Linked DNA regions of Drosophila melanogaster. The protein of the gene in region 1 interacts with the protein of each later gene in a pairwise test. Each region holds a gene or a part of one and is shown in the gene's direction. Other genes may lie near its edges.

Evidence for each region.
Region 2: the proteins of CG11999 (region 1) and Dhfr interact in a two-hybrid assay, tested with the Drosophila melanogaster proteins (one large-scale study listed by BioGRID).

What each region holds. Positions count from the first base shown.
Region 1 is NT_033777.3:5,348,092-5,364,685, reverse strand, and holds CG11999 (uncharacterized protein), read left to right. Parts: upstream 1-9,938; 5' UTR 9,939-10,064; coding exon 10,065-10,125; intron 10,126-10,252; coding exon 10,253-10,842; 3' UTR 10,843-10,969; downstream 10,970-16,594. Other genes in the region: Cerk (ceramide kinase), read left to right, coding at 2,977-4,707, 5,136-5,338, 5,399-5,528; Prosbeta7 (proteasome beta7 subunit), read left to right, coding at 6,611-6,762, 6,830-7,331, 7,403-7,555; CG1161 (uncharacterized protein), read right to left, coding at 8,106-8,261, 8,558-8,683, 8,744-8,852, 9,136-9,359, 9,433-9,501.
Region 2 is NT_033777.3:16,473,500-16,489,956, forward strand, and holds Dhfr (dihydrofolate reductase), read left to right. Parts: upstream 1-7,667; 5' UTR 7,668-7,761; coding exon 7,762-7,841; intron 7,842-7,891; coding exon 7,892-8,360; 3' UTR 8,361-8,377; downstream 8,378-16,457. Other genes in the region: Gyc89Da (guanylyl cyclase at 89Da), read left to right, coding at 1-1,874; Gyc89Db (guanylyl cyclase at 89Db), read left to right, coding at 5,328-7,337; Sdhaf3 (succinate dehydrogenase assembly factor 3), read right to left, coding at 8,378-8,548, 8,605-8,714, 8,781-8,862; Der-2 (Derlin-2), read right to left, coding at 9,530-9,707, 9,764-10,284, 10,369-10,455; Cad89D (cadherin 89D), read right to left, coding at 11,200-11,524, 11,589-11,792, 11,889-12,044, 12,128-12,433, 13,098-13,334, 13,448-13,516, 13,917-16,457. UniProt on the Drosophila melanogaster protein: By interacting with vestigial (vg), may control genes involved in DNA replication. Key enzyme in folate metabolism. Catalyzes an essential reaction for de novo glycine and purine synthesis, and for DNA precursor synthesis.

The sequences.
Region 1 (16,594 bases):
GATCGCTTTCGTGCTTGCAGCAATTAGCAGCATGCAATTAGTTGACGCTAATCATAATGAATCAGCAACACAAAAAGGCCTGCTTTTATTAAGAAACATTTCTTATTCTATTATAGCCCAGGAGAAATTGTTTCGATTCCCCGGGTTCCGCTTCTTTATGGCATTCAAATTTGTACCGACCTCAATTGGGTACTATCATATGTAAATATTTTATTAAATGTATAAATCAACGCATTGCTCGAGGTGCCCTATGTTTTTTGTTTGCTTCTCTGTTCTCGGTTTAGTGGCATTTGAGTTCATCACATTTGTTTTTTGAATGATTTGCTCTCAGAAGTGGGAGATGAGTATTTGTTTACTTCAAATTCATATGAGGGTATTTTGTTGTTGATTTGTTTCTAAATTATAAAGAACATGCTCTGGTTATTCCATCGAAAGTGTAGAATTAAAAGTTTATTAAATTCTGGCATTCAAAAGAGAAAAGTATGCCAATAACCAAGTTCTATGAATAGTGTGAGGGCTGAACGTAAGCCAAATTCATGAGGTATATTTATGATCTAGATATATAAATAAAATTTGATACTATACAAATCAAACTTGGAAAGGTCCACAGATAATGCCACAAACAAATTAATTCTCAAGCAAAGCCAGCTAATTAGCCAGAAAGAAACAAATAAAAACGAATAAAACTATTATTACCATTATGGCTAATTGCAGTTTTATTCAATGCCAAGGCTAATATACTACTAAAGCCTAGTTTTCTGTTTTTGCAAGCAATATATCTTAAGTAGCTGCCCAAAATTAATTAAACAAACAATATGGCTAGCCATATTAGCAGAGCTAACTCAAAAGCGGTTCTCCTCCGTCAATGTCAAGATACAAAGCTAGGAAATGCGACTTTGGCCAGCCTGCAGCTCGGGTGCAAATGTGGGCAAGGGGCGAGGTGGTTTGTTTTAATGCCAGATTATGGTCAACAGCCGGTTATTGCAGTCTGGCCAAGATCTCTCGAGCGATTCAAGGCGAAGGTCGCCAGCTGCACGCAACTCGACCGGGCAGAACCCGTTTTCCAAGTGCCACAGCTACAGCTTCCCGGTCCGCTTTTTTTTTGTTTGAATCCGATTCTGAAAGCGATTTTGCGTGCTCTGGGTGCCGTCTGTGATCGTCGTTGACCTTGGGGCGATTCGTTGCTCATACGCCGCGTGAGACGGGCTTTGTTGGCTTGTTGGTGCGAGTTCTGGTTTCGGGCACTGAAATGCGTGCGACTCTCTAATAAGCAACAATACAGTCTGCCTCGCTAGTCAGCTAACTAAAGAGTAATTTGCATACGTTTGTCATTTTTGAAGGTGTTTTTGGCACTGTTCTCCGCTTTTGTGAAATATAGAGATTCATTTGTTCAAGAACTTTACTCGGAGATGTCTTTCCCATTGTTTTGAGATGATTGGAGCTTGCTGGCTTTCTTTCGCTTTGGCCAAGTTCAAAGCAATTGTACATTGTTAGTAAATGAGGTGCCGTAAAGTTTACGATCGGAACGTGAATTGAGTTCAGAACCAGTTTGGTTCTGGCTAAGTGCGCTATGATACACACTGCAGTTGTTGAGTACTTTAAGAAGTATTTTATAACTTTTGCTTCTGCCACGTTCATCTCGATCTTTGTTTATTTATAACTGGCGAACGCTTTTCTCTGCCCAAAACTGCAATCAAGAGTTCATTCAACTCATTGCTATGAACTGCTATCTACTGCATTGTACTTTTTGTTTTCCACTCCCATTGGGTGGCATACAAATTAAACCAGTTTCTAACACTTGCGCATTTTCCTGGTTGCTCAGTTCAGCGAGCTATGAACACGAATCGCGCAATGTACATACGTATAAAATGTATAGCAATAATTTCTGAACATGTCCAATTATCTGCCATTGAAAACCCATCAACAAAGGCAAATAGAACCCATTGAGAAGTATTTCAAAACCTATTTTGCAAAGGGAATTGGACGCGATTTAATTGAGGTTCATAAACGATTTATTTTTGTAGAAGCCAATCCTTAAAATGTTTTTCGTTATATTAATTTATGATTGCAACGCTTGTTCATTGGAGTCTTATCGGGATTTCTGGCATTTTAATTACCAGCGATTATTTTTTATCGGTTTATGAGTCATAAGCGAACTTACCATTTAAATACTTTAAGCTCAGGCTAAAAAAATATGTGTGCAGTGAGTTTGTTGCGATATTTTTCCAGCTGGTTGTTTATGATACAGTTGCACAATTGGCTTTGCTATTAAACTTTTACCAATGGCCAAATCAATTATTCATCATTATTCTAAAAATGAGTCGTTATCTCGTAGTTACAGTGCTGTTTCATCGCCTTTTGATAACTTTATGGTCATTGAACCATAAACTCATCGAATGAACATTTTATTTTTTCGACTTTCCGTGTTTTCGTTCAAAAATATTCACAAGTCTATGCTAATGACAAAAACCATCAGATGCGGAGGACCGAGGCAGAGGTTTGAAAATGACTCCATGCAGTTGATTCAGTCTGTCACAGTCCCCTCTGCGTTTTCCGTTTAATTTTCATCATCGACACCTCTCAGTAAGTAATTAAGAGTTGAAAGGCCCACCTCTACGTGAACTGCTAAAGTCACAAAGGCCGAACATCAAAGGGTAAGAGAATGGAGCGTCGTAAGTACGACGCTGCCTCCTCCACTCTTTCATTTGTTACTGCTATTTTAAGTACAGTCAGGCTTGATTAAACCATAACTTGAACTTAATAAACACAAAGAAGTAAAGAAATCATATTTGGTCATGTGCGCCAAAATATGAAAGGTTTGAACCCCTTTTCTAACGGGTCCAAACTAAGGATATGGTTGCTTTTTGAGTTTGTGCTGATGATGTTTCACTGTATATCTAACTGAAACCTGTTTTCTTCTCTTAGTACCGACAAAGCGGACGCCATAGCGGGAGACGGAGACGTGGGCCAGTCAAGATGACGCAGACCAAGCAGCCAGCAGGGCGGTCGTCCACCTCGGCCGGGGATTTTGTAGCCCCCATTAGCTCTACGAGTGCCTCCAAGTTCACGCCCTGCTCCGCCTCCGACCACAATGTCCTGCTGAACAACTTCCAGCTTAAGAAGAAGAGCTACAGGGTCCTGCTTCACGGACAGCAGTTGGTTTGGGAGCGTCTGCAGAAGATCAAGCAATCGCCCCAAGGAAACGAGGCCAAGGCACCGTTGCCGCCGGACTCGCCAGCTCAACCAGGCGGAATCTGCTCTTATGGACCACAAAGCCACGTGCTCCACCTGGACGATGTGGTTAGCATAAGGAGCGGGGACACCAAGGCGAGCTCCCTCAAACCGCCTTCGCCGCCAGGCTCGGAACGCAGTTCCGGATGCAGTGGCGATGTTGCTCAAGGGAAGCCTACCAGTCAATACCTGACCATCAACTATGCCATGAGGCTGAGCAAGTCCCAAACGGATTGCAATCGGTGGGAGCTAAGGAGACTCACCTTCTTCAACTCGGATCCCTACATAGTGAGGCAGTGGGACCAGGAGCTGCAAATCCGTCTGCATAGCTCCTCCCCCACCCGGATGCGAGTGCGCCGCCTTTTGGTCTTTATAAACCCCTATGGAGGTCGCAAGGCGGGAGCTCAGACCTATGAGCGCCATGTGAGACCTATTTTCCAGCTTGCCGGCGTAGACGCCACGTGTATCACCACTCAGAGGGCAAACCAAGTGAAGGACATACTTCTGAGCCATGATCTGGGAGTATACGATGCGGTTTGCTGTGTCGGAGGCGATGGCACCGTAGCAGAGGTCATCAACGGACTGATATTCCGTCAAATGCGAGAGTTGGGACTGGACGAACAGCGGCCACCATACATTCCAAGACCGGCTCTGCCAGTGGGTGTGATTCCCGCTGGCAGCACCGACACCATTGCGTATAGTATGCACGGCACGGCGGATGTGAGGACAGCGGCTATCCATGTGATTCTGGGCCAGCATCGGGGATTGGATGTGTGCAGTGTGAGCAATGGGCAGTCCCTGCTCAGATTCTGTGCCAGTGTCCTGAGCTACGGGTACCTGGGCGATGTGGCAGCCCAGAGCGAGAACTACCGCTGGATGGGACCGCGCCGGTACGAGTACAGTGGCGTCAAGGCCTTCCTGAATAATCGCGGCTATGACGCCGAACTGAGAATGTTAGAAGAGCCCGATCTTCTACTGACCACGCCGCTGGAGGACATTCCGCAGAGTCCGGATAGTGTGTGCTCGCTGGGAGAGTCAGTGCCATCCGTCTGCTATGCCAATTGCCAGCGCTGCAGCTTCGCCAGCAGCATACAGGAACAGCGATCCTCATTGTTCATCCAAGAGGAATCTAAAGAGGCAGAGCGCAATCAGCAGGTAGAAACAGAGGACTCTCATCTAGCCGCCAGTGAAGCAGCACTCCTGAGGCCTCGTCCGCGTCCAGGCAATCTTCGATTGCCCACTGGCTCCATTTCATCAATGAGGAACCTCGGCAACGATCAGTGGAAGGTTGTGCGGGGCAATTTCTTTATGATCTGCGGCGCGAACATAACCTGCGCCTGCGCCAGGAGTCCCAATGGCATCTCCCGTTACAGTCATCTGGGTGATGGTTGCCTGGACCTGATTCTCGTGAAAAAGACCTCACTGCTCAACAACGTGCGTTTTCTGCTCAACACGGCGGGCAGAAGTGGTGATATTGTGAGTACTAACTATTACAACTATTCAACTTTCACATCCAAAAGAACACCTTTCCTATAAGAGGCGTCCATTTCCTTTGAAATAACATTTCCATAACATTTTAACTGCATCTTTAATTGCCAAATCCCCTAAGCCTACAAGCTGAGCTTAGTGCTTTCTATCCTAAAAGCCAAAAACCCAAAACCGAACCCCATCTAGCTCGGATTGAAGCGAGGGAAATCTGTGACAGAAAGGTTATTTTACGAAGATCTACTAGCCGCTCTGGTGGCATCCATATAAAGTATATACTTGACCAGTTTCAACAATATAATGTTTTATCTAGTGAATGCGATGGTATCTTTTACTGTAAAAATATAAATGAAAAATAAAAGGATACAATTAAATTTTGTAGAAAACAATAAATATTTAAAAACATTTTCCCATTGCAGCGCAATTTGCCTTTTGTAGAGGTATATCGCACAAGGGAATTCCGGTTCAGAACTTTTTCTGCCAGCGAGGAGGACTACAGCTTGGCAGGGTCTTGTCAGCCGATTACACCGCCTGAAGAAATGACCGCCCACTCCTCCTCGACGGAGTTTTCCAGCTGGAACTGTGATGGAGAGGTGGTGACCGACCTGGACATAACCATGCGGTGAGTTGGTTGTACCTTTAACTTCAATAAATCGCTTATTAACCGTTCCGTATCTGGCAGATCGCATTGTCAGCTCATCGAGGTCTTCATGCGGGGTCCCCATTCCTACAGCAAGCCCCTCAAGGGCGGCACCACGCCCACAACCCCAGCTAGCTCTAGCGACAATGTTTACTGCTGCTGCAAGGACTAGAAGCTTTAACCCCATAGAATTAGCATCAATCGTTGGCCGTGACATGTAGCTCTTAGTTTTGCGTAGGGTATCCTTATTCGTATATGTATCGTGTTAAAGAGCGGGTCTCCCCGTCATTGTTTTTAGCATAGCTCAATAAAGCAACTGATATTATCGACTGTATTATGGCATCTGAAAGATGCGGCAGCAACCTAAACATTCCCCTCGGAAGCATTATGCACATACCTATATATTTACAAATTGTGTACTGGTATACTGGCAATAAAAATGTATTTATATGTCTTCAAATTTATAATTCTTTATTATTAATTTATATGATCAAATGTTATGATAAAAAACTTCGTTGGGTTCCCAAAAACAACAATCCGGAACATGTGCGTTTTTCCCACCAATATGAATAAAAGCAGAAGTTTTAGCAAAAGAACCTTATTCCGCTTAAAAAGCTATGGAGAATCGTGTTCGAAGGGAGAGAAGGGAGATATTGGATTTGTAGATTGACCAGGATAATTTCCAAACGTCATTTACATTTATTGCTCTCGATTCTTATACTTTAATGACCATTGAACGGCTTAAAATGAAGTAAAGCAAATGGTCATTATATATTAACTAAACATATATTTAGTTTCAAGGAGTAGTAAATACCGTAGAAGCAACGGGTATACATGAGTCTTAATCCTAATTGAGTGAAAAGTTCTTTAATTTCTTATCTTTCTTCTCCTTGATTTGTATTATCAACGAGGATTATAAAGACAAAAGTAAAAAAACAAATTCAGTATAGGCAGCGTGGTGTTAACTGTTTTACATTACTTTTAACATCAACATCTAATAAAATGTTAAAAAGTTCACAATTAAACTTCAAATTAATTTAATTTAACACATGTAAAACGGTGTGACCAAGCTAATAGTGGATTCATCTTTGGTATGTCTGGTATTTTTAGCTACCGGTTGCCGATACTGGTATTGCCGCCCGCCTAAAGTCTGTTCACACTGCGCTGACTCTTGATTTTATTTGTGCCCGTCATTCTCCGGCAGCGACAAACATTTCAAAGTCTCGCGTTATTCCAGTCTCCGAATAAATTAGCATGTTGAACAACTACAACAGCCTAGCGCAGCCCATGTGGCAGAACGGACCCGCTCCCGGCGAGTTCTACAACTTCACGGGCGGACAGACGCCGGTCCAGCAGCTACCGCGGGAGCTGACCACAATGGGACCCTATGGAACCAAGCACAGCACGTAGGAACTGCGGATATGTTTATATGCAGATGTACCACTTGTTTACACTCCTTTTACTATTCCGCAGTGCTTCCAGCACCACGGGCACTTCCGTGCTTGGCATTCGCTATGATTCAGGAGTGATGCTGGCCGCCGACACCCTGGTGTCTTACGGATCCATGGCCCGCTACCAAAACATTGAGCGCGTCTTTAAGGTCAACAAGAACATCCTGCTCGGCGGGAGCGGCGACTTCGCTGACATCCAGTCCATCAAGCGCAACATCGACCAGAAGATGATCGAGGACCAGTGCTGCGACGACAACATCGAGATGAAGCCCAAGTCCTTGGCCAGTTGGATGACCCGTGTGCTCTACAACCGTCGTTCGCGGATGAACCCCCTCTACATTGACGTGGTTGTCGGCGGCGTGGACAACGAGGGGACTCCGTACCTGGCCAACGTGGATCTCCGTGGACGATCCTACGAGGACTACGTGGTGGCCACTGGTTTTGCCCGCCATTTGGCCGTTCCGCTGGTCCGTGAGAAGAAGCCCAAGGACAGGGACTTTACCGCCGTAGAAGCTTCCGAACTGGTAAGGAATTTCGAACTCTGATGGGGGGACTCTTCATTATTTAACTACCCTACCATTTTCTTATATTCTAGATCCGCACATGCATGGAGGTGCTTTACTACCGCGATACTCGTAATATTTCCCAATACACTGTGGGCGTGTGCAGCGTCAACGGATGCGGCGTGGAGGGGCCCTTCCAAGTTAACGAAAACTGGACATTCGCCGAAACCATAAAGGGATACTAGAGCCTCCGATTCTGAATGAACTTAGTTTAGGTCTAGCTCGGCGGTTTTGCATTAAAAAAAAACACTTGTCTAAGGATATGTGGTTACATGATTTATTAAAAATAAATGTGGCTGAAAATAATACGTTTAAAGTTATGGTTATTGTGTGATAGAAACTATCTTCGAGTTATTCTTTCGTTAATCTCTACTGATGGAATCAAAAAGTAGGCGTCAAACTAAGAAGCCCAAGGGAGTTTCCAAATCTAACTTGGACTCACCATTACGGTCTTACGTTCCTTATTTTCCCAAATTATAACCATCAATTATCATTAAAAGTTTTATTTTAGTGGATTTGTTGGTTATTCCTCCCGGCATTCAACTTATTAATTAATATGCAAACACTCCTGACAAACATATTTTGGTTTATTTTAATTAACATAAAATCTGGCTAAATATACAGATAATCAATTTGATCCAAAGGGGAATTTCGCAAAGGATAACTGCTTGGAATACGTGTCTTAAGTCGCCCATGCGCCTCCTAATCTCCGCCAGCTGCAAACCGAACCCCTTGTTAGTTTAGCATGGTATGCCTGTCGTAGATGTGGCGTCTCTGCTCGCGCACCTGCCGCTTCCACTTGTCCTGCTGGTGGCCCACACGATTGAGGACATTGGCTCTGGCACTGAGCTCCTGGTTGTTGACGGCTGGCAGGGGCGGCGTTGGTTCATCCTGGTTAGAAAAGGGTGGAAAAATGTGGAATTAGTCGAGGTGATCCAAGATCTGGCCGTGTTAGTTACTGTCTTAATGAAGTGACGGTGTGGGTTAGAAAGTCAACAAAATCTATAACGCAAAATGAAACAAAGGTGGTTGTGGAAATTAAAATCTATTCAAAAGAGTGGTGCTTCTTTATTGCCAACTAGTTGAGCCGCTTCGGCATCAACATCGTCATCTTCATCATCTTCGCCTTGGGCTGTAACTAGGAGGCTATACTGAATGCCCTTGTATCTAGAAAGCTTGTTATGTACATCTTCGTTGGTGTGCTCCTGGTAGTTCGCCTTCACTCGCTTGTTCAGCAACGGGTCCAGGCACATCAGGAAGAGCATGTATATTACTAAAATGGAGATGATCCAAATCACAATAATGACCACGACCTGGATGGGGGAGAGAGCTGGTTAAGTACGGACGGCTTTTGAGCACTCGAATTGACTCACCTTTATCAGCGTCGTATTTCTCGCCACATGGGAGCACTTGCACTCGGCGCATATGGGCAGCTCCTTGCCATTGGCATCCAAACGGGGCAGCAGGGCACCGGCACAGACGCTGAAATGGTAACGTGTAGCAGGTTGTTAAGAACTCCAACCTAACAGAATCACAAATTAAGCTCATTGATACCAAGATGCCTTATACATTTAGTAGCTGAAAAGTGAATACATTTGTGCAATACATGAACTATGATTCTTTGAAGCCTACGCAAACAACGTAAATTGAATTTAAAGTAGTAGAATCCAGTGGGACGAAAGGGATTGCAGCTTTAAAACTGCTCAAATGGACTAGACTTTAAGTTTCCAGATGCGGCAATTTCTGCCAGTGCAGTGCCACTTACCACTCAGTTGTGCTGCTGGAATTGGAAGAATTTTTGCCTGGAGCAGCGAGCACAGGCTGGCCGATGACCTTGGCCGGAGGGGCGGCAGTGGGAGCTGAAACTTGCTTGGCTAGTGGAGCTGCAGCCGCTGGAGCTGCAGGTGCAGGCACAGGAGCAGGTTGAGCATTGCTGTTGTTGTTGCTGTTGGTGCCGATCGCTGGGAATGTCTGCGCCGCAGTCTCAGCCTTTGTTGATTGTTTGAGGGGGAAATGAAAGCGGATTAGTGGGGCAGTCACGGGATGTGGCCAGTCATCATACCCATGTCACGCCAACCAAATAACATATCACCAGTAGCACCGCGTAGACGAACAGGCGCTTGTGTGCCATTAATTTTTCTTTAATTTCAATTTTCCTCAGTTTTCTTGCCTTTTATTGGAGAAAATTCCCTTGCAATTTCGCAGAGTGACCGTACTTGTCTGGTGCACAGAAAATACCAACAAATTGTCGCTCATCGAACTAGTTCCTTTTGGTGCAATTAGTTTTTAGGCTAATTATTAATAACTAATTATTTCCTTCACGATATAACGTTCATTTAATTCTAAAACAATCAAGAAATAAGTTTCTAGGCGTATCAATAAATCTGTGACGTCAAATTCGTAATCTGCTCTCTGAAAAGACTAATTATATTTTTCCTTTATTCAACATTTATTATATACATTAAGCTATTTTCCGTTAATGGAATAAGTTACAGCAATATGGAGTTTGTTATAGTATTATGTTTATTTTTTTCGGTGAGTCCATAATTTGGATTTTACCGCAGCCTGGTCACACCAGCACCGTCAAAAATAGCAATTGTTTGCGTGTGCAACGCTGATTTCAACCGTAATTGCCGGTACAGATTGACTGACTTAGGTCCACGGACTAGGATACGATAACTAGAACAGGACACGATGCAGCACATACTACTTCTTACAGGACTGGCGCTGGTAGGCAGCATTTCCAGGGGAGCCGGTAAGTGGCGACCTGAAACAAAGTCGCGTCTATGTGGTCTTCTCTGATTGGCCGCCCCTCTTTCTGAACCTTCCGTGGCCATAGTTAATGCTTATCTTATATTCTATCTTGACCCTGCTGAACACAGCCACCGAATCCAACGTGGTCACCTGCGGCTCCATCCTGAAGCTGCTCAACTCGGACTACGCCTTCCGCCTGCACTCCCACGACGTCAAGTACGGATCTGGTTCCGGGCAGCAGTCGGTGACGGGCGTGGAGCAGAAGGAGGACGTGAACAGCCACTGGGTGATCAAGGCGCAGACCGGCGAGCTTTGTGAAAGGGGCGAGCCCATCGCCTGCGGATCCACCGTGCGACTGGAGCACCTGTCCACCAAGAAGAACCTGCACTCGCACCACTTTTCGTCGCCGCTCTCAGGCGAGCAGGAGGTGTCCGCGTACGGAACGGATGGACTCGGCGACACCGGCGACCACTGGGAGGTGGTCTGCTCCAACGAGAACTGGATGCGCAGTGCCCACGTTAGGCTGCGCCACATCGACACCGGCATGTACCTGGGCATGTCCGGCCGCTCCTATGGCAGACCCATCTCCGGCCAAATGGAAATCGTTGGCGTCCACAAGCCGCAGCACGGAACGCGCTGGACCACGGCGGAGGGCCTCTTTATCGTGCCCAAGGAGAAGAGCTCAACGCACGACGAGTACGCCCACTCGGAGCTGTAGTGCTCCCTAAGGACCTCGACTGCTGCAGTTTCATACTACTATTAGTTCTGTAATTTATAACTTAGTTGAATTTTTATTGAAGACCCCAAAAGCAAACCATCAAATTAAAATTATTTAAACTCAGGGTACTTCGAAACTTTCAGATTGCTTTCATCGAAAGTTATGTATTCTATGTATGTATTATGTATTCTATCTAGAAAGTGCCTTGCATAAAGGCAGTCGTAAGAACCACTTAGCTTAAATGCATTGCAACAAATGGGGGCGTCTATAGAGCCCTTTTTAAGGTAGTGAAACCTCAGTTGCAATCTAACTTTTCTAAATTTTTCTAGAACTTTGATTGATTGTCTACTTAGTCAGTTGCAGGCACACAAATGCTTTTTTATTTTTATGTAACCTTTTATATTTTAAACGGGTATTTTGAGGCAATAGTACTCTTTCTGTTGGCATTACTGCAGTTAATACAGATGTATCTATTCCATGTAGTGCTGAAAGACATGCGTAGGTTACCAGGTGCTAATAGCGTGTTCGTGTCACTTTTCTACTACTCATTGATGATTAAGACTGATTGCATTTGGCGGAAAATGTCGATATCTTTGAACTCCAACAGAAGGTATCCCATGCCGGATTGACAGCCCTTTAGCTTGAAGCTAAAGCGGGAAGTATCCTTGCAGATGCAGCCGTAGGGCGTCACTCGCATTTCGCGAAAGGTGCTCCCCATTCCTTCGGATGTTTTTGTTTGCATGCATAAAACAATGGGGCTTATTCCGACCATACAAGCTATGTATATACATTTTGCCATTGCTCGCGGTTTCCGCTCCCTTGCTGCCCCGATATCGTCACGTCCATTATCTGCTCGTCTGTTTTGTGTTTCTTTTGTTTGGGCCATTGTCAACGCTTTGTCTGCTCATCCTCCGGGCCATGTCCTCATCCTCCGCTGCCTCCGCCTCCTTCGCATCCCCGTAATCCCAACTGATTGTGGACCCAGTAAGGTCAAAGTGTTAGCTGATCTAACCCAGCGCACAGTCGTTTATAGATTCTCATAATCGGGTTGTCCTTGTAACCATTTTGCACAAATAAGAAATGGAAACAAGGATACTCGTTCTACTAGTCTGATGAGCGATGTTGTCCCCAGCAGGAAATCTTAGCAAGATCCACCATCTGAAGATAACCCTCAACTCCGTAATTTCATGCTTTACGATGCAAATACTGGAAGTATCAAGCTTTGAATCTTGTGTCAACTATTCCTGATTGGAAATTCTGTACAGCAATTATTATAGACTTTCAATAAATTGTCATAAATAGTATATGGAATATGGATAGCACATAGCTGTCCACGATGTCATATTACCAGAACATAGTATCGGAGAGTATAAAACACTTTAGTTGTCGATTACCATCTGAGCATGTTAAACTTTGTATAGTGAACCAAATGTTTTTCCACGGCTTAGTATAAAAGTCTTCTTCATTTTGCTTATATTGCTACAGAAATGAACGTCTTAACATTATATATAATCCTTTAAAATTGATCAATTATCGCATAATTTAATGCAATATAGTGGGCTTATGTGTTTAATGAAATCGGCAATGCTGCCACCTGCTGTGGCAACATACCATTTAATATCACGTCAATTATCCCTTACAGGTGTTGATAACTTCCGTTCTGCGCGTTTATTGATTTACCCTTAACGTGTTAACGCCAAACTCACTCATACGCACACCCATACATACATATGTATAAGGATGTGTTCCTGCTCGCAGGACTTTCCCTCCCCGACAACCGGATTCCATTGTTAAGCGGTGGCCCATCCTTGTATTCATCGTATCCTTGTATTGTGCTTCCTATGTGACCAATAATAAAGAGAATATTTTGGAGCGAAGCTACACTATTAAAAATTTTCATTAGACTTAGTGTAGAAAACTGTATAGATCGGGATAGATATAGCGAAATAAGCTCATAAGCCAACTAATCAAGTATTTCCTAATCCAATTGCGAAACTATTCGGCATTTAATACTGAAAATAAAACTCAAATCTCTTTCTCTGCACGCATAAATGCCCAAGTGTTTTAGCAATCCTACGATAATATATATTATACATATAAAAGGGAAACGTTTTCCCTTATCGATTTGTCTTAATCGACAGCGGGCAAAGTTTAAAGCGCTTAAAAGTGGGAAAGGACTCGTTGCTTGAGTGACTGACAGATTGACACAAAATGTTTGAATGTTGCGATGTTTGTTTGTTTGCGAGTGTGACGCCTGCCCCTCTGCCGCACAATTCCAAACGAAAAGTACGTTGTGTATACGCACGAGTGGCTGGAAAGCGTAAGCAAAACGCCCTGCATACTAACCGGCGCACCCTGACCTACGTCGTGGCGAAATATCTCAAAGTTACTTGGAGTACGATTAGAAAGCTATCCACATGTTTTAATTTTCGAAAATAGAGTAGGTTTAACTAGAAGCTTTCAAGACACTTAGTCACTGACTAATATATGATAATAGTATAAACAAACGTACAAACGTTCTATGTTAATTGATACAAAACTTTTTTCTTTTCTACAAAATTATAAATACATATAGTAATATAAGTATATTATAGAAAATATGAATCAAAACAATATCAATTGTTATCCCCTTTTATTAGTTCTTAAATGTTTAAACTCATAGATCGTCTTCAGCAAGCATACAACAATTTGCTCTGATTGCAACTATAGGATATTAGTTGATTGATCGATACAAATTTTACAGCGATCATGACGAAAAGATATCAAAGTCAAGCCCTTTTGGCCGACGAATTAAATGGCTAGTATATATGTGTATGTTAAGTAGACTTAGGATCCTCTCTGCTTTCTGCTTAATTCGCTAATTCTATTGTGAATAATTAGCATTTCCTGCCATTGGCAAAAAGCCAGAATTGTCGACGTGAAAATAGCCAGGTGTGTCCGCTCAGCTTTGCCACACGCCCTTTAAGCCTCCTCTCCATCCCTCGCCCCCTTTTCGCCTGTCTGTCTCTCTGTTGTCGTCTCCAGTGGCCGTTATCGCTGGCGTTGCGCATTCGCCCCGTTGCTCCTGGTCCGCCCCTACCTCCCTCTCGCTCACTCTCACTCGTGTCGCCTCCTACGCACTTAACATTGAAAACCGAAAACAAGCCCCCAAGTGGCCAGAAAGGCCTGCCATCCGCTAAAAAGAAGAACATAAGCCGTCTCTCTGCGCCCGCGCACTTCGCAAGTTCACGGAAAGAGGCGAGCCAGAGAGCCTTAAATTGTGAATAGTGAAAGTTTGATGGCAACAACAATCGTTCCTAAGTTTTGAAGTTCACAGCGAGCCTTTTAGACACGACAGCCGCCCCTAACAGTATGCAACACACTTTTACAGAGATTGTTGGAAAAGGCGAAAAAATGGGACACACGTTACGAACAGCGAGGATGTTTTTGTTGTCCATCGTCGTTTTAAAGTAGTATAACTTTATAAGTTAGCCATGGAAAATATTCAGAAATTCAAATAAATATGTAAACTAAAATATATATATACAATAATCTGTGTCAAGCTAATTTATTTGGCTCTTTTATGTGCTATTTTTTTGCCGTCTTAAGCATTTAACATTTGTAGGTGAGTTCAAAAAAATAATAGACACTTTTTGTTACAATTACCGATTGCTCATGAATTTGAGTCAAATATTATAAAAATAATTTTAGTAAAGAAGCAGAGGCTCTGTTAAAAGCGCCGGACTAAAATAAATGTTTGCCGTGAAAGAGCGAAAAAGAGAGAGCTGGTCGCTCTCTCTTTTGGCCATGTATTTCGGCCCTGTTGGCTGGAGCGACGTAAATACCGTTAGCACAGTACATCGTAGACAGTTGAGCGTGCAAGTTTGGGCAACCAGAAGCGCCCGCCGATTCTATCAGAAAGGCCAACAAATACAAATCAAAACAGAGAAAAAAGAGCAAAGAATTTTAAGACCGAGGTTTTTTTCCAAAAAACAAAAACCAAAATGGCAGCCCAATAAACTCGAAAAACGCTTAGTAACGAATACAGTATTTTAGTTTTGGCCAGTTCGCACAGTTTTTTCGGTTCCCCAGCTGTGTGTTACATAAATCTCAGTGATTGTGTGAGTGTGCGAGAGAGAGTGCTCATGTGTGTGTGTGTGTGTGCGACTAACAGCGACAGCAGTTAAGAAAATATAAAAAGCTGCTAAAAATTATAGAAAAGCAACTACCCGAATTCGATCTATCCTTTGTGTGCTTAGTCAATTGGGCCCGAGCCCAAAAGCTGTTTCGGTGTCAATTACGAGAAAGTTACTACCAAAAGTATATAACGCATACGCAGCGGTGTCTGAGATCCAAGCACTCAGAAAGCAGCCAAGCAAGCAACCAGTCGAAGCAATGTAAGCCGAATAAACTTCAAAATCTTGTTTATTTTCTCCAATTTACAGAAGAAGCGAAAGTAAAATGTCTAGAAGTTCTCATTTGCATACTTAATCACTGGGTTAATGGCTTCCACCGCACTTTATAGAAATCCATCTGTTTTTGGTCCTGACCTCGACCAACGGACTGCCATTGAAACCTGAACCGCATCGTCTGTTCACTTTTAGCGAGTTTCTGCCATCAGCTGCAAAATGAGTAACAATTTCCCAGCGCTACAATTTCCACAACATTTATCGATTATCGCCGCACACCCACCCAGCCAGCAACTTACCGCCACTTCCAATTTTCTTTTGGTCAAGTCAATTGCTTGCAAAATTTAATAACCGTACACTTGGTGTTTTGCGTTCTGTTTTGTGCCCCAACTTTGTTAATTTCTTTTTGGCCCTTTCTTCGGCTCCCCCGTTTTATTGCTCTTTTCTTTGAGCGCCGCCCACGCAGCTGCTTGTTATTTTCCCCCTTTTCGTGTATTTTCGCCCTTCGCCTGCCACTCCCACTTGCCTCTCGGCAACTCTGGCTCCGCTCCTTGCCACCTTTGTGACCCGAAATGGCGAATATCACCATGTCGAGGCTCTGGATTGAATATCTTATTGTCGATGTGAAAATGGTATCCAAAAAGAGTTTGATTGATTTGTTGAGGGCTCCCAAGACGATTATTATCCGTCAATGCAAGGAATAGGTGAGGAATAAGGACCACTTCTAAAGAAAGATCCTTTTACCAATCAGTTTCTTAGTTGATTTTTTAAAATGATATGTAACAAAGGTATTTAAATATAATAAGGAAACTAAATTTAAAAAATTTACGAATAATACAAAGTCTTATATCCCTAATTTTTGTACAATACGAAACGATAGTGAACGCTTATTTCGGTTTCCGCGATTATCAGATACCTTTTAGTCGGCTAGCGGGAGCGCAAGGGAGAAGTTTTCACATTTTAATAAAAGAAAATGACAATTCATTTTAATCTATAGATTCAAATTAATTTCACCACTTTTGGCTTTTCAACTTAAGAGCGTTGAAGGTATGCAATAAAATGTTTTCTCATTTGCAATAATATTTATTCTTTGAATTTTCAAGCAGCTTGAAATGATTGATGTCTGAAAAAAGACATTGTTGTTATATATTTTTCATGTGCATTTTCCTCCCGTCCGTTTTTCCGCTGCACACTTTGTTGGTGCCCATTGTTATTACGTATACTGTTTCTGCGTCTAAGCAGAACGTGCTTTGTTGACCGCCCACGACGACGACGAAGACAAAGTGTCCGTCATTTCCAGCGGTGGCTTTCGTCCTGTCATTGTCCTTGTTGTTCCTCTACTGCTGCAGGACTTCAGCCTGAAG
Region 2 (16,457 bases), about 11 Mb from region 1:
ACAAGCTGATGCCGGATATCGCCGAGGCTTTGTCCGCCTGCACGGGCGAGTCCTTCGACTTCTGCATGAACTTCTTCGGGCGCTGTTTTGTGCGATTCTTCAGCAACTTCGGCTACGACAAGATGATCCGCTCCACCGGGCGATACTTCTGCGACTTCCTGCAGTCCATCGACAACATTCACTTGATTATGCGTTTCACCTATCCCAAGATGAAGTCGCCCAGCATGCAGTTGACCAATATGGATGATAACGGAGCTGTGATCCTATACAGAAGCAGTCGCACTGGAATGTCCAAGTACCTAATTGGGCAGATGACCGAGGTGGCCCGCGAGTTTTACGGCCTGGAGATCAAGGCTTACGTGATCGAGAGCCAGAATGACATCAGTGGAGGCACTGCTGGTCCCATCAAGCTCACGGATGGTCCCTTGACCGTGATTGTGAAGTATCGTCTGGACTTTGATAACCGGGAGTACATGGCCAAGCGCGTCAATACGGAGGCCCATCCCTCACAGCTCAAAATGCCCACCGTGAAACTGGATGTGTTCCTCGATCTTTTTCCCTTCACATTTGTGCTGAACCACGACATGAAGATCACGCATGCTGGTGAGAAGATCGTTGAGACCTGGATTATGCACAATCCAGGGGCCAATCCAAAGAGCTTCATTGGCACCCACGTAATGGACTTGTTCCAATGCCGTCGTCCGAAAGACACCACTATCGACTGGGATACCCTGATCCAGATGAGAGCCGTGCTCTTTGAGTTCGAGTTGATTCGCACGGGTCACAATCGCGCTGCCTACGATGCTGTCTTAAACATGGACTTTGAGAACTATGACGAGATGGACTTAAACGAAGCCCAAACTATGGCGCTGGCCAAGGCTCAGGAGTTCAGTGAATCCCATCCGGTGGATGATGATGAATCTGCGAGAGAGGATGAGATCGACCCTGCCACTGGGGAACGTCGATCTTCCCAGGGCTTGAGGTCCATCCTTTTGAAGGGACAGATGTTCTACATCAAAGATGTGGACTCGCTGATCTTCCTGTGCAGTCCTCTAATCGAAAATCTCGATGAGCTGCATGGAATCGGTCTCTATTTGAACGATCTTAATCCACATGGACTGAGTAGAGAGCTTGTGATGGCGGGATGGCAGCACTGCTCCAAGCTGGAGATCATGTTTGAAAAGGAGGAGCAGCGATCGGATGAGCTGGAAAAATCGCTGGAGCTGGCAGATTCCTGGAAGCGGCAGGGGGATGAGCTGCTCTACTCCATGATTCCGCGGCCCATTGCCGAAAGAATGCGACTCAGCGAAGAACAGGTTTGCCAGAGTTTCGAGGAAGTGTCCGTCATCTTCCTCGAGGTGATGAACGTCTATGATGAAGGATTGAACAGCATTCAGGGAGCTATGCAGACGGTGAACACTTTGAACAAAGTATTTTCCGCTCTGGATGAGGAGATCATTTCCCCATTCGTTTACAAAGTGGAGACCGTGGGCATGGTTTACATGGCTGTTTCGGGTGCTCCTGATGTGAATCCCCTGCACGCCGAACACGCCTGCGATTTGGCCTTAAGGGTGATGAAAAAGTTCAAGGCTCACGATATGGGGGACGTGGCTATTCGAGTTGGCATCAATTCGGGACCTGTGGTGGCTGGCGTTGTGGGCCAAAAGGTTCCTCGATACTGTCTGTTTGGGGACACCGTTAACACCGCCTCGCGAATGGAGAGCAGCAGTGATCCCTGGAAGATCCAGCTATCGAAGTACACCGGCGATAAAGTGCGCCAAGTGGGCTACAAAGTGGAGTCGCGTGGTACGGTCCAGGTCAAAGGCAAGGGCGACATGGAGACCTACTGGCTGCTGGAGGGTCCCGAGGGCTAGGAATAGAAAAATATTAAATGTATCTTTATTTATAGCACCATGTTCTGATTGTACGGCACCTGTGGCTCTCTTAATTTGTTGCAATAAAAGAGAATTTAGCTCTGCTCCTCTGACTTTTTGTGAAAGTATAAATAATACCTATTTCCTGCTGGTTTTGGGACAAACTTAATTTGTTTAATAATACCAGCTATCTATGTAGACAATAGACTCTTATTGAATACACCCTTTATAAGCTCAAGTTCTTATAATATCCTCCATCCTGCCTTTTCAATTACCAACTCCTGCCATTTCCCGCAGACAACCCTCATTTCGGAAAATCCATTTTTAATAACTTTTATGGGCGGTTTGCGTGTCACTTTGCACACCATCATCTCCAACCCACGACGGACCATCGTAAGCCCATTCAAACATACAGTAACCTCCGTTCGCCTCTTTCTTATATAAATTAAATTAAGTCACTCTGCGTGTCCTTAGCTCGAACGCCTGGACGTTGGACACTTAATTCCGGTGCAATATTGAAAATAACTACACTGAACAAATAATAAGACTTTGAAAATGGTTAAAAAAAAATAAAAATAAGAATTTTGAAAATATTCTTGTATTTTCTTAGTTTAATAAAAAAATATTTTTTGTCACAAAAGTTGATATCAGAACTTTTGTGTGTTGAGGGCCATCGTCATTAGTTTTTACTCCGTTAAGAGCTGTTTTTGTTTGATTATATTGAGTTATTTTCTTCGGGACCCAATGTACATAAATATAATATTTTTGTAGTTATGCAACGCGTGCCTGTCGCATCTGTAATTGATGGCTTTTTGAGTGGTAGAAGTATCTCCTTCTTTTATTCAGCCGGGCATATTATCGTCCTCTTAGTCGAATAATGGTCTGTCCATAAAATTGTCAACGTTTATTTAATAGACTAGCCCTAAAATCCGTTTCGTTTAAGTGGGACAAAGGCTTTTTGTTCGATGCTGTGAAATCCCTTTTAAATTGCTTTAAAACAACACATCAAATATGTGCAGGATTCAGGCTAACATGTGTATGTACATCTTTTTGTATATATAACTGCGTGAAAATGGAAAAGCATTAAGCACAGAGCCACAAAACCATTCCTCCATCGGGGAAATGGCAAACGGCCAAAGCGAAAAACTCTGTTACAATGATACATTTGACAGACGGTTTTCGATACTTCAGGGCTTGGGATATACATTCAAAGTACTCGAGTATTTCTAAATTGTAAGAAATGGTTCAGAAAATTAGAACAGCGTTTTATACAGAGAATACAATTGGAAAGAAATTATCTAAAGGAAACTAAAAGTTTGAAATTTTAACATTTGTATAAGCCACATATCTATTATAACTGACTAACCTAGTCGTCAGTCTATTACTAGGTGTTATTCAGCCCTGGTAAAGACCCAAAGGACAATACTTTCCCAGGACACCGCACACATATATATGTACATCGATGTGGGGGAGTGAGCCCATAAAAGGAAATGAACGGGGAGAAAAATGACTCCTTCGGTTGTGTGACAATGTTTTACTGTTTCGGAAGGAGACAAAGTGGCAATTGTGGCAAAGAGCATTGACTGCCGATGATGATCACGATGGTCAAACAGAGAAGTGCGTGTCGAAGCGCAGGCACGTAGGTCCTAAGTGGGCCGGAAATACAGCTCCAACTGCAACTTGGCTAGTGGGTGGGCTATAAAAGGCCTGACCGCCACAGGGGCACGCTTCAGTCGACCGACATCGTCCCGGCGAAAAGGGAAAGCTCCAGGGGAAACCGACGGTACCGACGGAACCGACGGATGCGAAAGAGCCGACAGACTCACGAAGCTCGTCTGTCAGAGGAAATCATGAAGCAAAAGCAAATCAGGCAGCCAGAAGCCAAGGAAGCAGCGACAGGCGGCAAAACAAATTTAGTGTAACAATAGCAACTGCCGACGACGCAACACGGAGTACGGAAAAGTGAGAGTTTGCCGTGGAGTGCGCGTATATATATGTACCCCGACTTTACGCATCCGGGGATGCTGTGCGTGTGCAGGCGTATATGCCTTCCTTAAATTATAAATAAGCGACTGGCAAATGCCGCGTGGATATAATTAAAACTCTTTCTGAGGCACAGACAAACGACAAGCGGCTCCGATGCTGGAGAACTTCATGCGATTCATCTAGTGGATTGGAACGAGCCGGAAAGCAATATAAGGTAGCAGGGATTGCTGGGGATATAATAAGCTAATTTCACGGTTCACTAATCAAAGAGATATATCGAGAGAAATAAGGGGATTTTCATACATCCTTAAGAAGGCAGTTCTTTAAAGGATTAGGAAGCAATATGAGAAGCAGAGGAACTACATCATTTAAGTTAAAACTTAAAGTTAAAGTTGCAACTGAGTTGGCCACAAATTATTACACTATAGTCCATTTAACTTTAGCATCCAATCCATTATTTATCAATTTATATAGATTAGGGTTCTCCCTGCCACTTTCAAGCTACCATAAATTACGAGCGATTAAATCTACGTATTGTTAACTTGAGTATAAAGGAGCAGAAGTTAAGCATTGCCTTTATGTTCTTTTTGACTACGTGGATTCCCTGACCATTAATCAAACGTTAGCATTTTGAAACAGCATTTTTATCCACTTTTTACGACCTTCGGCTTGTCGGAAATTTGCATGTTTTTTGTCAAAATTAAATACACTAAACTCAGGAAAGATGTTCGAGAATTTGTGGCTCAGTTAGTTAGTCTGAGTAGAAAAAAAATGAAAAACTGGCGTTGCCACCAGCGAATTACCGGCAATAGGAAACGGAAATAAGTTGAGCACAATGAGCTATGTTCCTTTCGCGAAGAACGTGACAGATTTGAAAGACCTTGATGTGGGAAATAGGAGGATTTCCACCGCGTGTCTGCCACATGAACTCAAATTAAACTGTCGGGGCAATAAATCAAATGCTACGGAGGAAAAGCATTGGGTGTTTTTGAAGGCTAGATAAGAGGATATACTCTGACGGCTTAAACATACACCAAATGTATGTCACCTTACATTAATTACGTGTTTAATGGATTTTAAATGCATGTCTCTAAAAATAGGAAACAGATTTCACGCATAAGAACAGCGACTGAATACAATTTAATTTTCACTCTAAGTAGTTACTCAAGACTATATCAGCGCAAGACTTTTTTATGTAGCATCCTAGCCTACTACCAATCACTTAAGTTGTGTACGAGTTTGTTGGCCTAATCCCTGACCCAACGCAACGAAATTGTCCTAAATCCTCCGGGGTACGAACACAGTTTACCTAATTACCAGCTCAGAGCGATGGAAAAACTTTGGCTAACCACACCCCTAAATATGTGACTGCCAACTTTGTTTCGTTACAGGATAAACTTTTACGAAGGCAATTTCGACGATAGGCAGGACTTCACAGGACCAAGGACATTCACATCCTGCCCCATCATGTACGGAATGCTGTACGAGAGCGTGCAGCACTATATCCAGCAGGAGTATGGCATGGAGACCTGGCGAAAGGTCTGCCAGATTGTCGACTGCAAGCATCAGAGCTTCAAGACACATCAGATCTATCCGGACAAGCTGATGCCGGACTTTGCGGCAGCCCTGTCCGCCAGCACGGGCGAGTCCTTCGACTTCTGCATGAACTTCTTCGGGCGCTGTTTTGTGCGATTCTTCAGCAACTTCGGCTACGACAAGATGATCCGCTCCACAGGGCGATACTTCTGCGACTTCCTGCAGTCCATCGACAACATTCACGTGCAGATGCGTTTCACCTATCCCAAGATGAAGTCGCCCAGCATGCAGTTGACCAACATGGATGACGATGGGGCTGTGATCCTGTACCGCAGCGGCCGAACTGGCATGTCCAAGTACCTGATTGGCCAGATGACCGAGGTGGCCAAGGAGTTCTACGGCCTAGACATGACTGCCTATGTCCTGGAGAGCCAAAATGACATATGCGGTGGCACAGCCGGTCCCATCAAGCTTACGGAGGGTCCTCTGACCGTGATTGTCAAGTATCGGCTGGACTTCGATAATCGCGATTATATGGCCAAGCGGGTCAATGTCATCGCGCATCCTTCGCAGCTGAAGATGCCGTCGGTGGACCTGAATGTGTTCCTCGAGCTGTTTCCCTTCACCATTGTGCTGGATCACGACATGAAAATCACACTTGCGGGCGAGAAGATTGTCGAGACGTGGATTCTGCATAATCCTGGAGTGAACCCAAAGACCTTTATTGGCAGTCACATATTGGAGCGGTTCAAGTGCCGTCGTCCCAAGGACACTCAGATCCAATGGGAGACCATTCTGCAAATGCGTACAGTTCTCTTCGAGTTTGAGCTCATCCGTACGGGTCACAATCGTGCCGCCTATGATGCGGCCTTGAACTTTGACTTTGAAAACTTTGATGAAGCCAGCAGCCTGAACGAGGCGCAGGCCATGGCTTTGGCCAGTGCCAAGGAGTTTAGTGCGGAGAACGCCAAGGAAGAGGCAGCAGCGGCAGCCACCTCCAAGGACGAAATCGATCCCGCCACGGGACAGAGACGCCATTCGGTGGGCCTCCGATCTATCCTGTTGAAGGGACAAATGTTCTATATCAAAGATGTGGACTCGCTGATCTTCCTGTGCAGTCCTCTAATCGAAAATCTCGATGAGCTGCATGGAATCGGTCTCTATTTGAACGATCTTAATCCGCATGGACTGAGTAGAGAGCTTGTGATGGCGGGATGGCAGCACTGCTCCAAGCTGGAGATAATGTTTGAGAAGGAGGAGCAGCGATCGGATGAGCTGGAAAAGTCGCTGGAACTGGCAGATTCCTGGAAGCGGCAGGGAGATGAGCTACTGTATTCCATGATACCGCGACCCATTGCCGAGCGAATGAGAAAGAGCGAGGAGCACGTGTGTCAGAGTTTCGAGGAGGTATCCGTCATTTTCATCGAGGTAATGAATATCTATGACAGTGGGTCCAACAACATCCAGGATGCCATGCAGGCGGTGACCACCTTAAACAAAGTGTTTTCGGCATTGGACGAAGAGATCATTTCCCCGTTTGTTTACAAAGTGGAGACCGTGGGCATGGTTTACATGGCTGTTTCGGGTGCTCCTGATGTGAATCCCCTGCATGCCGAACACGCCTGCGATTTGGCCTTAAGGGTGATGAAGAAGGTCAAAGCCCATGCTCTTCCCGGGGTGGCTATACGGGTGGGCATTAACTCGGGACCCGTCGTCGCCGGCGTGGTTGGGATGAAGGTTCCTCGATACTGTCTCTTTGGAGACACCGTTAACACCGCCTCGCGAATGGAGAGCAGCAGCGATCCCTGGATGATCCAGCTGTCCAACTATACTGCGCTGAAGGTGCAAAAGGTGGGCTATAAGGTTGAAGCGCGGGGATTTGTCAAGGTCAAGGGCAAGGGCGAGATGGAGACCTACTGGCTTTTGGAGGGACCAGAGTAGAACTGGAGACTTGTTTGTCTTGGAAAATCCAGGAATATCACCACTATGGTATTGAAATATAAAAAACATATTTTGAGACAGAAAATCTTGTAACCCTTTGGAAATAATCAGGCTCGAAAACCTCTTATATCTAATGTATCTAATAACTTTTTGGTAATAGTTAACGAACTTTTAATCCCCTGTAAAGTATATGTGGATCACTATAAAAATAAATTCAAGACACATTGTATCTAGAAATATTGTTTTCGTGGGAGTGGCGCGAAACCAACCTGAAATCTGACTAAGATCTTCATAAGCGTGTTTCGATAATAGGTAAGTAATCGAAGCTATCGAAATCGGTTCCAGCATTGCCTTGATCAGCTGTTTGAATTTTATAGCTTGGAAGATAATTTTCAAGCTTATGCTTTCTCAGTAAGGATTAAGGATGCTTCGATTCAATTTAATCGTGGCAGTTTGCGAGAATTTCGGAATCGGCATCAGAGGCGATCTACCATGGCGCATTAAGTAAGTTGGTAACAAGGATTGAACCGCAGCTAAAGCTTTTGTACCATCAGATCTGAGCTGAAGTACTTCAGCCGCACCACCAAGCGAACAAGTGATCCCACCAAGCAAAATGCCGTGGTAATGGGCAGGAAAACCTACTTCGGAGTGCCGGAAAGCAAGAGGCCTCTTCCCGATCGGCTGAACATAGTGCTGAGCACCACACTTCAGGAAAGTGATCTGCCCAAGGGAGTACTATTGTGCCCCAATCTCGAGACGGCCATGAAGATCCTTGAGGAGCAGAACGAAGTGGAGAACATTTGGATTGTGGGCGGTAGTGGAGTCTACGAGGAGGCCATGGCCTCGCCAAGGTGTCACCGGCTGTACATTACCAAAATAATGCAGAAGTTCGATTGCGACACCTTTTTCCCCGCGATCCCTGACAGCTTTCGAGAGGTCGCGCCCGATTCCGACATGCCACTGGGTGTGCAGGAGGAGAATGGCATTAAATTCGAGTACAAGATTTTGGAGAAACACTCATAATAAAATAATACACTGATTTATTTGCCTTGCGCATCTTCTACTCCCTTGGCCGCCAGCATCAGCTCGTATAGTTGGACTACTTGGTCGTCTTTCAACATTTCTACAGTCTTGGGGTCAATCTCTTCGCCCAGCTCTCCCTTGGGCTTGCCCCGAATCCCTAGTTGTTGGGTGATTGTGGACGCATATCGCTGCAATGGAAGATTTGCTTAGTATGGCGCCTTTTTGTTTATTACGTAAAACTTACGGCCCACTCTGTCATAAAGAGCTGTGCCTCCATGGGATTGCACTTGAGGTGTCGCCGGAACTCGTCCCGCACATAGTTATCGCCCAGAGCACGAAGTTCCGCTGGAAGTCCTACGGAGTACAGAAGTTTAGTTGAAATGCATGCAATTTATAGTAATAGGGAATTTTTCATCTTACCTCTGTGCAGTCGCAAGATCGTTTTGTACAGCAGTCGGACCCTCTGAGGGTGGGTCAGTTGGCTCATCAAAATTCTGGACATCCTGAGTTCATATCATATAACATACTAATACTATACTATTTAGCAGCCGGCTAAAAACTAAATACGAGCGAATAACAACTGTTTTGTCGCAGCCAGTGTTGGCTAACGTCAAATTGAGTTGGCAGGTGGCAACGTATTAAAAGTTTGGCGCGCATTTGAATTGTCACCTTTAAAAGTTCAATGCTATTTTCATATTATATTTAAGTTAGGCACTTCGAATTGAACCACACTTCCGCAAACCAAATAATGTAAAAAGAAAATGTTTTTTTCAAATGGTTTTTTTTTATCAATCCCCAAGCGATTTCAAGCATTTTAAAACTGCAGGTCTTTTTATATAATGATTTATTTGTGGCATGGTTTGTATATATATAATCATCACATGTGCAGTGTAGGTTCAATCTGTCGTGGATTCATCCCTTGGGGGTAAATTATAAATAAAAGAACATCTCGTATGGAAAATGAGCTCTGTTTCAGAAAACAAACCAATAAATGACATACACACACGCTCTGCACCAACTTTGGCTAACTATTGCACGCCTTTCTCTCACTACTATACGCCTAATTACACCAAGCACCAAACAGAAGGTGGCGGAGGGTACACAACATTGTTGTCATCGTCGTCGTTTTGAACAGAAGAACGTTTTAACAATCAAGTTTTCTAGTTTTGCTATTGCGGCGCGGCAGCAACAGGCGCCGCTCGATTCGCTGGCTCCTCATCCTGTCCATCAGCCGCAATCTCTTCCGGTAGCAGGGGCTGACCCTCTCCGCCCCAAGGAAATCCGCCAGGTCGATCCTCAGCAGCCGCCTGGAAGTTGCGTTCGATGTGCTCATTGAAGAGACGTTTCCTAAGGACAACAAGTCGTTATTGCAAAAGTTATATCCCAATTCAAAGTAAACTCACAAAAAGTAGGGGGTTTTGATCAGTCTGTAGCCGTTGGACAGTGTAGGATAGACGTCCTCCAGCACGTAGTAGATGTGGCCAACACCCATGCCGATGACATCCACCCACACGGTGTTTCCCAGAATCATGGAGCAGCAGAGGAGCACCCACGGAAGGTACGGCGCCTGGAAGTTAAGCACCCCGAAGAAATTCATTGGCACCAGTGGATTGCGTCGTGACCACACATAGACCAGCATTAATGTGAAGGCCTGGCCCAGGAACAACAGGTTGACGAAGATTCCGAAGAAGGTCATTAGCACGCCGCCAAAGATGAACATCATGACAAAGTCGGAGCTGCGTCCGCGGAAAGATCCGTCCTCCAACATTCGACAATATCGATATGTAAACACCATATTGAAAAAGAAACTGATGCCTATTGTGCCAAAGTACAGGAATGTGGTGGCCAAGCGCCAGATCTGGAACTTGCGCACAATCAGCGTGGGATTGAAGTAGAGCTGCAGCGGCGACACCAGGTCCAGGTGCTTAAAAGTTGGCAAAAAATATAATCGAAGATAATACACGTACACGTCATCCGCGATTTAGAACGCACTACGGGATACACTTACCACCGCCAAGGTGGTCAGCACGCAGACCGTGGTGTAGGCTCGTGTGACCACCGGGATCTCCAGGTAGAACTGCCGCAGGGCATTCATGGCGGCTCCTCCTCCAACGTTGGACTCAAAGTGTGCAGCTTGGCAAGTGGGTTGCGATTGTATCCTTTGGACTCTTCGCTTCTTCACTGTTTATTCACCTACAACCAGCGGCGGACTATCTCTTTTTGGTAGTCCTCTCACCGGATGTTGTGCACTCCAGGATTGAGACGTGTTAATGGATAGGGAACAGCGCTCGGGCGATGGAAAATAAATGGAACGCTAGCTTTTATTTTTATGACCAAGGTTAGTGATGGTACAAATACTAGTGACACTGGCGCCAGATATCGATAAGCCGTAATCGTGACACGAAACTTTAAATTAATTTTATTTATGTGGTTAACAGAAGGAAGAACTTAAGATTGTGTCGTCTATCGAAGAGTAGTTCATCCAATATTTGAATGGAAATAATATTTATAATAACAGATAAGTTCAATATGATTTTCACTTTGAAATCCATAAGCTACTATATGATCAGAATGAATTTCTATACTATTATATATTGTATTTCCATATCTTCAATGGGTTTATACTTAAACTGGAAATTAATCAAATTTTCTTTTGAGTTTTTCTACTGCTCAATTGATTTTCCCGGATTTCAAATATATCACTTTCTTTTTCAGAGTTGGGGGCTATATTAATTGTAACATCTCTCAAATTTATTGCACTTGTTTCTTAATATCTAAAGTCTATTCTAGGTTGACTACACTAAAAATTGCACTGCGTTTTGTCTAGCTAAAAAATGAACTAAAACAATGAATTAGATTTGCTAAATTCGAGCGGGCGGCGAAAGGACTGCTCCAGGTTGTGCAGCCGCTGCTCCAGGTCATTCATCGAGTTGCGGAGGGCGTGGCCCCGGGGACGCAGTGAAATCTGCGGTGACTGCTGCATGAGGTCGTCCTTGACCCCGGAGAAGGAGTGGCGCACGCAGGAGCGCTTCTCGAACCGCGTGTTCTGGTAGTGGGGATGGTGACTGGGGTGCTGCTGGTGCTGGCGGTGCTCACAATTGGCACTGCGACAGTTATGCGCCACCAGTGGCTCGTCCGTCTTCAGAGAGTCCTCATAGGTGTCACTGTTGCAATGAGATTTCAAATGTTAAGAAGGCAATCCGAAATAAAGCACACTCTTCTACCCACCTGCTGTCCGTATTTGGCTGGCGCAGCTCCAAGTGGGCCTTCGCATGTCTGGGGCATAAAACTTCCGTGTTGTTGCCGCGCTTAGAGCCTCCGTGCTGAAAGGAATCCGGCGAGGTCTCGTACAGCTCGCGGCTGCTCAGGAACTCCACACCAGAGTCCTGGCCCGTCGAGTGAAGTGAGAACAGCGAGGTTTCGTAATTGTTACTGTTGTGATGATAGGTTGCAGTTTAGTATGTTAAGTCTAGTTCATAACAATTGTGCCAAATTTGAAACCATATTAAATATAATCTATAGACTTACAGATTGTTAACGGGCTGACAGGCATTGTACTTCAGTACGAACGGAGTGCTCCCGACGCCCACAGCTCCATCGCCCCCACTCGTCACCGCCGCAGCCTTGGCAATGGACTTGGGAAGAGGAACGTCTATGTACTCGCGCTTTTGCTGTCGCTGTTGCCTGTTTCGGGGATGATGGCAATTAGTGTCCAGAATGGAAACACGTTTGACTAGACGCGGTCTTGACCACGGCCATTCACTCACTCGTTCAGGTACTGATGATGCTGCTGCTGTGTGGCCATCGCCTGCTGCTGGTGGTGATGGTGCAGCTGCTGCTCCAGTTTCTCGGTGGCGGTGGCCGTAGACTGCGTTTGGGCCGAGGAGCAGACGGACTCGGGCATGAAGGCACTGGTGGGTCGTTGGCTGCCCGTGCTGCCCTTGCTACAGCGCTGTGTGTGCCGCTGCTGCCGCTGACGGCGCTGCTTCTGGCCACGAGGAGATCCGATGCCAGCGATGGTATAGGTGAGACCGGCATCGGAGGCGGAGAAATCACGCTGAGACCAGAGACGTCTGCAAGAGACACGGGAAGAATTTGTAGTAGTTTTAGACGGCTCATATCAATCGTTTAAATCATCATTAAGCTCTAGTATAGTTACTTGTTTTCATTTTCAATATGTAAATTTATAGTTAAACCTGATCGTAGTTTCCTTTCAATATAACAACATAACTTCGAACATATTATTTATTTTTCTCTGTGCAGGATGAGCTGAGCTGATGAGATGACATCCCATTTGATTGGCTTTCCCATTTGGGATGTAGTTGCAGCGATGTCACACGATCTTCATCTAATTGCCTCAAGTTGCTATTGCTGCATTGTTGCATTTGATGTTGTGTTTGTTGCTTTTTACCGTTATAATTTAATCGGACAGGAAAGGCCCAATGCCAGCCGGTTTATGCAGACTCAGTGGCATCAAGCAACTTGGCCACGATCATGGCCATTAGCAGTAGCAGCAGCAGCAGCAGCAGCAGCAGCAACAAACACACCAACAGCAGCAGCGGCAGCAACAACAACGTTTGCAATTGACTTAAGATTTATTATCGGGCCTTTAGCTTAGGCTAAAACTATGGCTAACATGAAATGCATCTATGAGCTACATTTGAGCGCCCAGTAAGCAGTCTTTCGGTTGCAGTTGCAGTTGCACTTGCATGACACTCGTGCACTCGTCATTCATACCGTTTTTGGCGCATGCATACGTAGCAGCAGGCGGCTATCAGTGCACCCAGGCTGATCAGCGCAAGCAGAACCACCGTCACAAACTCCAATCCTCCCATGAAACTGGACGCGGAGGCGTGTGCAGGTCGGGCCAACTGCCCAAACTCGGCCAGCTCGAGGATGCGGGGCATGGGCTTGCCGCCGTCGAGTTTCTGCTGCTGCAGTTGCAGTGCGTCCAGTTGGAGGCCAGCCAGGGCGCTGAAAGAAGCAATTCAAGGCCATTAATTCGCATGGCAGTTCTGGGTCAATCGATTTTAGATGCCGCCCGGGGCCGGGAAGGGAGTCGGTGTGGGGAATGGGAGAAAACTTACTCCTGCAGTTGCTCCATTTCCATAATGGAATTCGTGTGCGGATCGACGGCATAGATATAGGCATTGGTGCTGCAAATGGAGAGGGTAGAGAACCTGTTAGGTGATGACACTGCAGTGTTTTGATGGCAACTAATGGCCAATTATGTTATGCAATGCGGTCAAAAGCTGCACATAATAATCAAATATGAGAGTTTAAACCTATACCTATAACTTGTATCTGTATCTGGTACTTAAAATAATTGGTTAGAAAGCATGAACGGATTGTTGGCAAGTTATCGATCCATTAATCTATATCTAACCATCTATCTAAATTAACATTTAAATTGGTGGTGATTTTATAAAGACGTTTATTGGTAGTAAATCTTCTTATGGTCTAAGCACCATGCCTAAATACTGCTTTTACACTGGCAGACTATCATTACATGGGGTATTGTTTTATTAAGACTACAATCGATATATAGTTACTTACGCAGGCTCTAGCCCTCCAGAATACGGCTCCAATAGTCTGACACGTACATCCTTGCCAATGGCATCGCTTAGTGCCTCCATTAGGCCCTCAATGCGACGCTCCACCTCGACAGGCATTCCGGCCACCACCAGACGCACCTGCTTGGCCTCATTGATGATATAGACGAACACGTTGACGATGCCGCTTCTGCCATCGTCTGCACCCATTCGATCTGTGGCCTTCACATCGAATCCGTAGATGTGTTCGGTGCGGGAAAGTTCTCCAAGCAGGCGAATATTGCCCGATAGCTCGTCGATGCCAAACAGGCGAGCGGGCTCGTTTAGAAGTCGATAGCGTATCTCGGCGTTTAGCCCCTCATCCAGATCGTTGGCCTCCACTCGGGTCACGGGGTATCCAAAGCTGGCACTTTGCGGTAGAACCGCCACAATCGGTTGCCCATTGCCTCGGAACTTGGGTGCATTATCGTTTTCATCCGCAATGTGGACCAAAATTCGACACTCGTTTAGCGACAGACCCTCTATTCGTTCGTCTACCACTGGGTACGAGACCCTGGCGTAGTTCCTAGCTTCCCGACTCAATCGATCCGCTCGAATCCTAAGTTGGTATCGGGATATGTGCTCCCGATCGAAGGGCTTGAGGGCATATAAAAGCATATTCTTGGCATCATATTCAAATGGCGGATGAGCATCCGTTTCATCCAAGCCCTCCTCCAACCACAAAGACCAGCGATAGTTCTCGGGATTAAGACCAGCGCTTAGGTTCAAGCGCATCACCTCAATGGGTGCTTCATTGTTCTCCGTGAGCTTAACCTCATAATAAGCGTGCTGGAATACGGTGACATTTGCTGGAGGTTCTGGTTTGGGAGTCGATTTTGGAGGATCCGTAACTGCCTGCCCCTGGAGGTTCACAATTACAATGGCTGTCGCGGATAAAGCTGGACTGCCCACATCTGAGGCAATCACAGACACATTCAGATGCTCATAGTCGTTATAGCCATTTATACGTGATATTGTGGAGATGGTACCATCCCGGGAATCGATTTGGAAGAGTGGTGCTTGCATTTCCTGATGACGAATGGAGTACAAAACCAGTCCATTGCCATTACCCACATTATCCTTATCGATGGCCGTGAGTTGCCTCACAAATGTGCCAGGCTGAGTACTTCGATCCAGATATGCCTTATACACCGGCAACATCAACGTGCGATCTGCCACACTTGGGATGAACTTCACCGCCTTCGTTTGATCGTCGTAGCCAATGAACTCCGGCCGATTGTCGTTGATGTCTAGGACATTAACTTCCACATCCACGCTGCTGGACATTCGCTGCATCACAGGGGCATTGTCCGTGGCTATCACTTGGAAGCTGTACTTGTCCTTCAGCTCCCGGTCGAGCTGCCCGCCGATCTTCAGAACTCCCGAGGCAGGTTTGATGGTAAATGGCAGATGGGAATCACTGAGCGTATACGTTATATTAGCATTCTCTCCAAAGTCCATGTCTATGGCGGTTAGCTGACCCAGCACACTGTCCTTATACTCCCCTTCTGGGGTATCGAAGCTATACCAGGACTTCTTGAACGTCGGCGCATGATTGTTGACATCCATCACAGTGAATCGCAGACATGTGGAATCCTTTAGACCATCAATATCCGTCACTGTCAGATTTAACATTATTTCGATGTTTGCCGACAGAGGATAGTTGACCGACAGCTCCCCGCTTAGTTTGTCTATTGCAAAATACTTTACTCCATGAACACGTAACATGGGCATTCCGGGTGTCCGCTCCACCTGCTCCCCTTGGAGCTCGTAGTGCAGTAGGGCGTTCTTTCCGAAGTCTTCATCACTTGCGCTCAGTTGTAGGACTTTCGTACCCACTGGAGTGTCCTCATAAATGGCGAACAAAGGACATTTGGTTGTCAAAGCTCGAACCATTCTCCGCCGGGACTTAGCTCTAGCTACCACTCCCAGTCCTGCACCCACAGATCTCTCTCGATCCACGTTGAATCTCGGTGATCCGGGAATGTGATATGGAGGTGGGGCTAGCATCATGGCTGCCGTTGCCTGAGGAGCTGTCATTCCACTTGAACTCTCTACAAAGTAGATCTCCATATCGGTGGTGTACTCACGGATCTCCAAACGCGAGTCCTTGAACACGGAGATGCGTTCAAACATCGGAGCATTGTCATTGACATCTGCCACGAGGACTGTGAGATGGGCATATCCCGAGAGACCTCCAGTATCGGCTGCTATGATCTTCAAGTTGTACAGCTGCTGTTTCTCACGATCCAATCCCCTCTTTCCCGTATAGGAGATACGGAAATACGGACCCGAACTGAGCTTAAAGTTCGTCTGCATAAAAGTGGTGTGCAGCTCCTGGTATTTGAACTCATCGTTCCATTGATCCGTCAGGTTGAAGATATTAAATGCCCCTGTAGTGGATGGCATTTTATGATGAGTAGAGTTTTCCGAGGATGTTCCATTTACGTATTCTATACTGAACTCGTCGCTATAGTCGCCTTGGAGTTGTACTCTGAATTCGGCA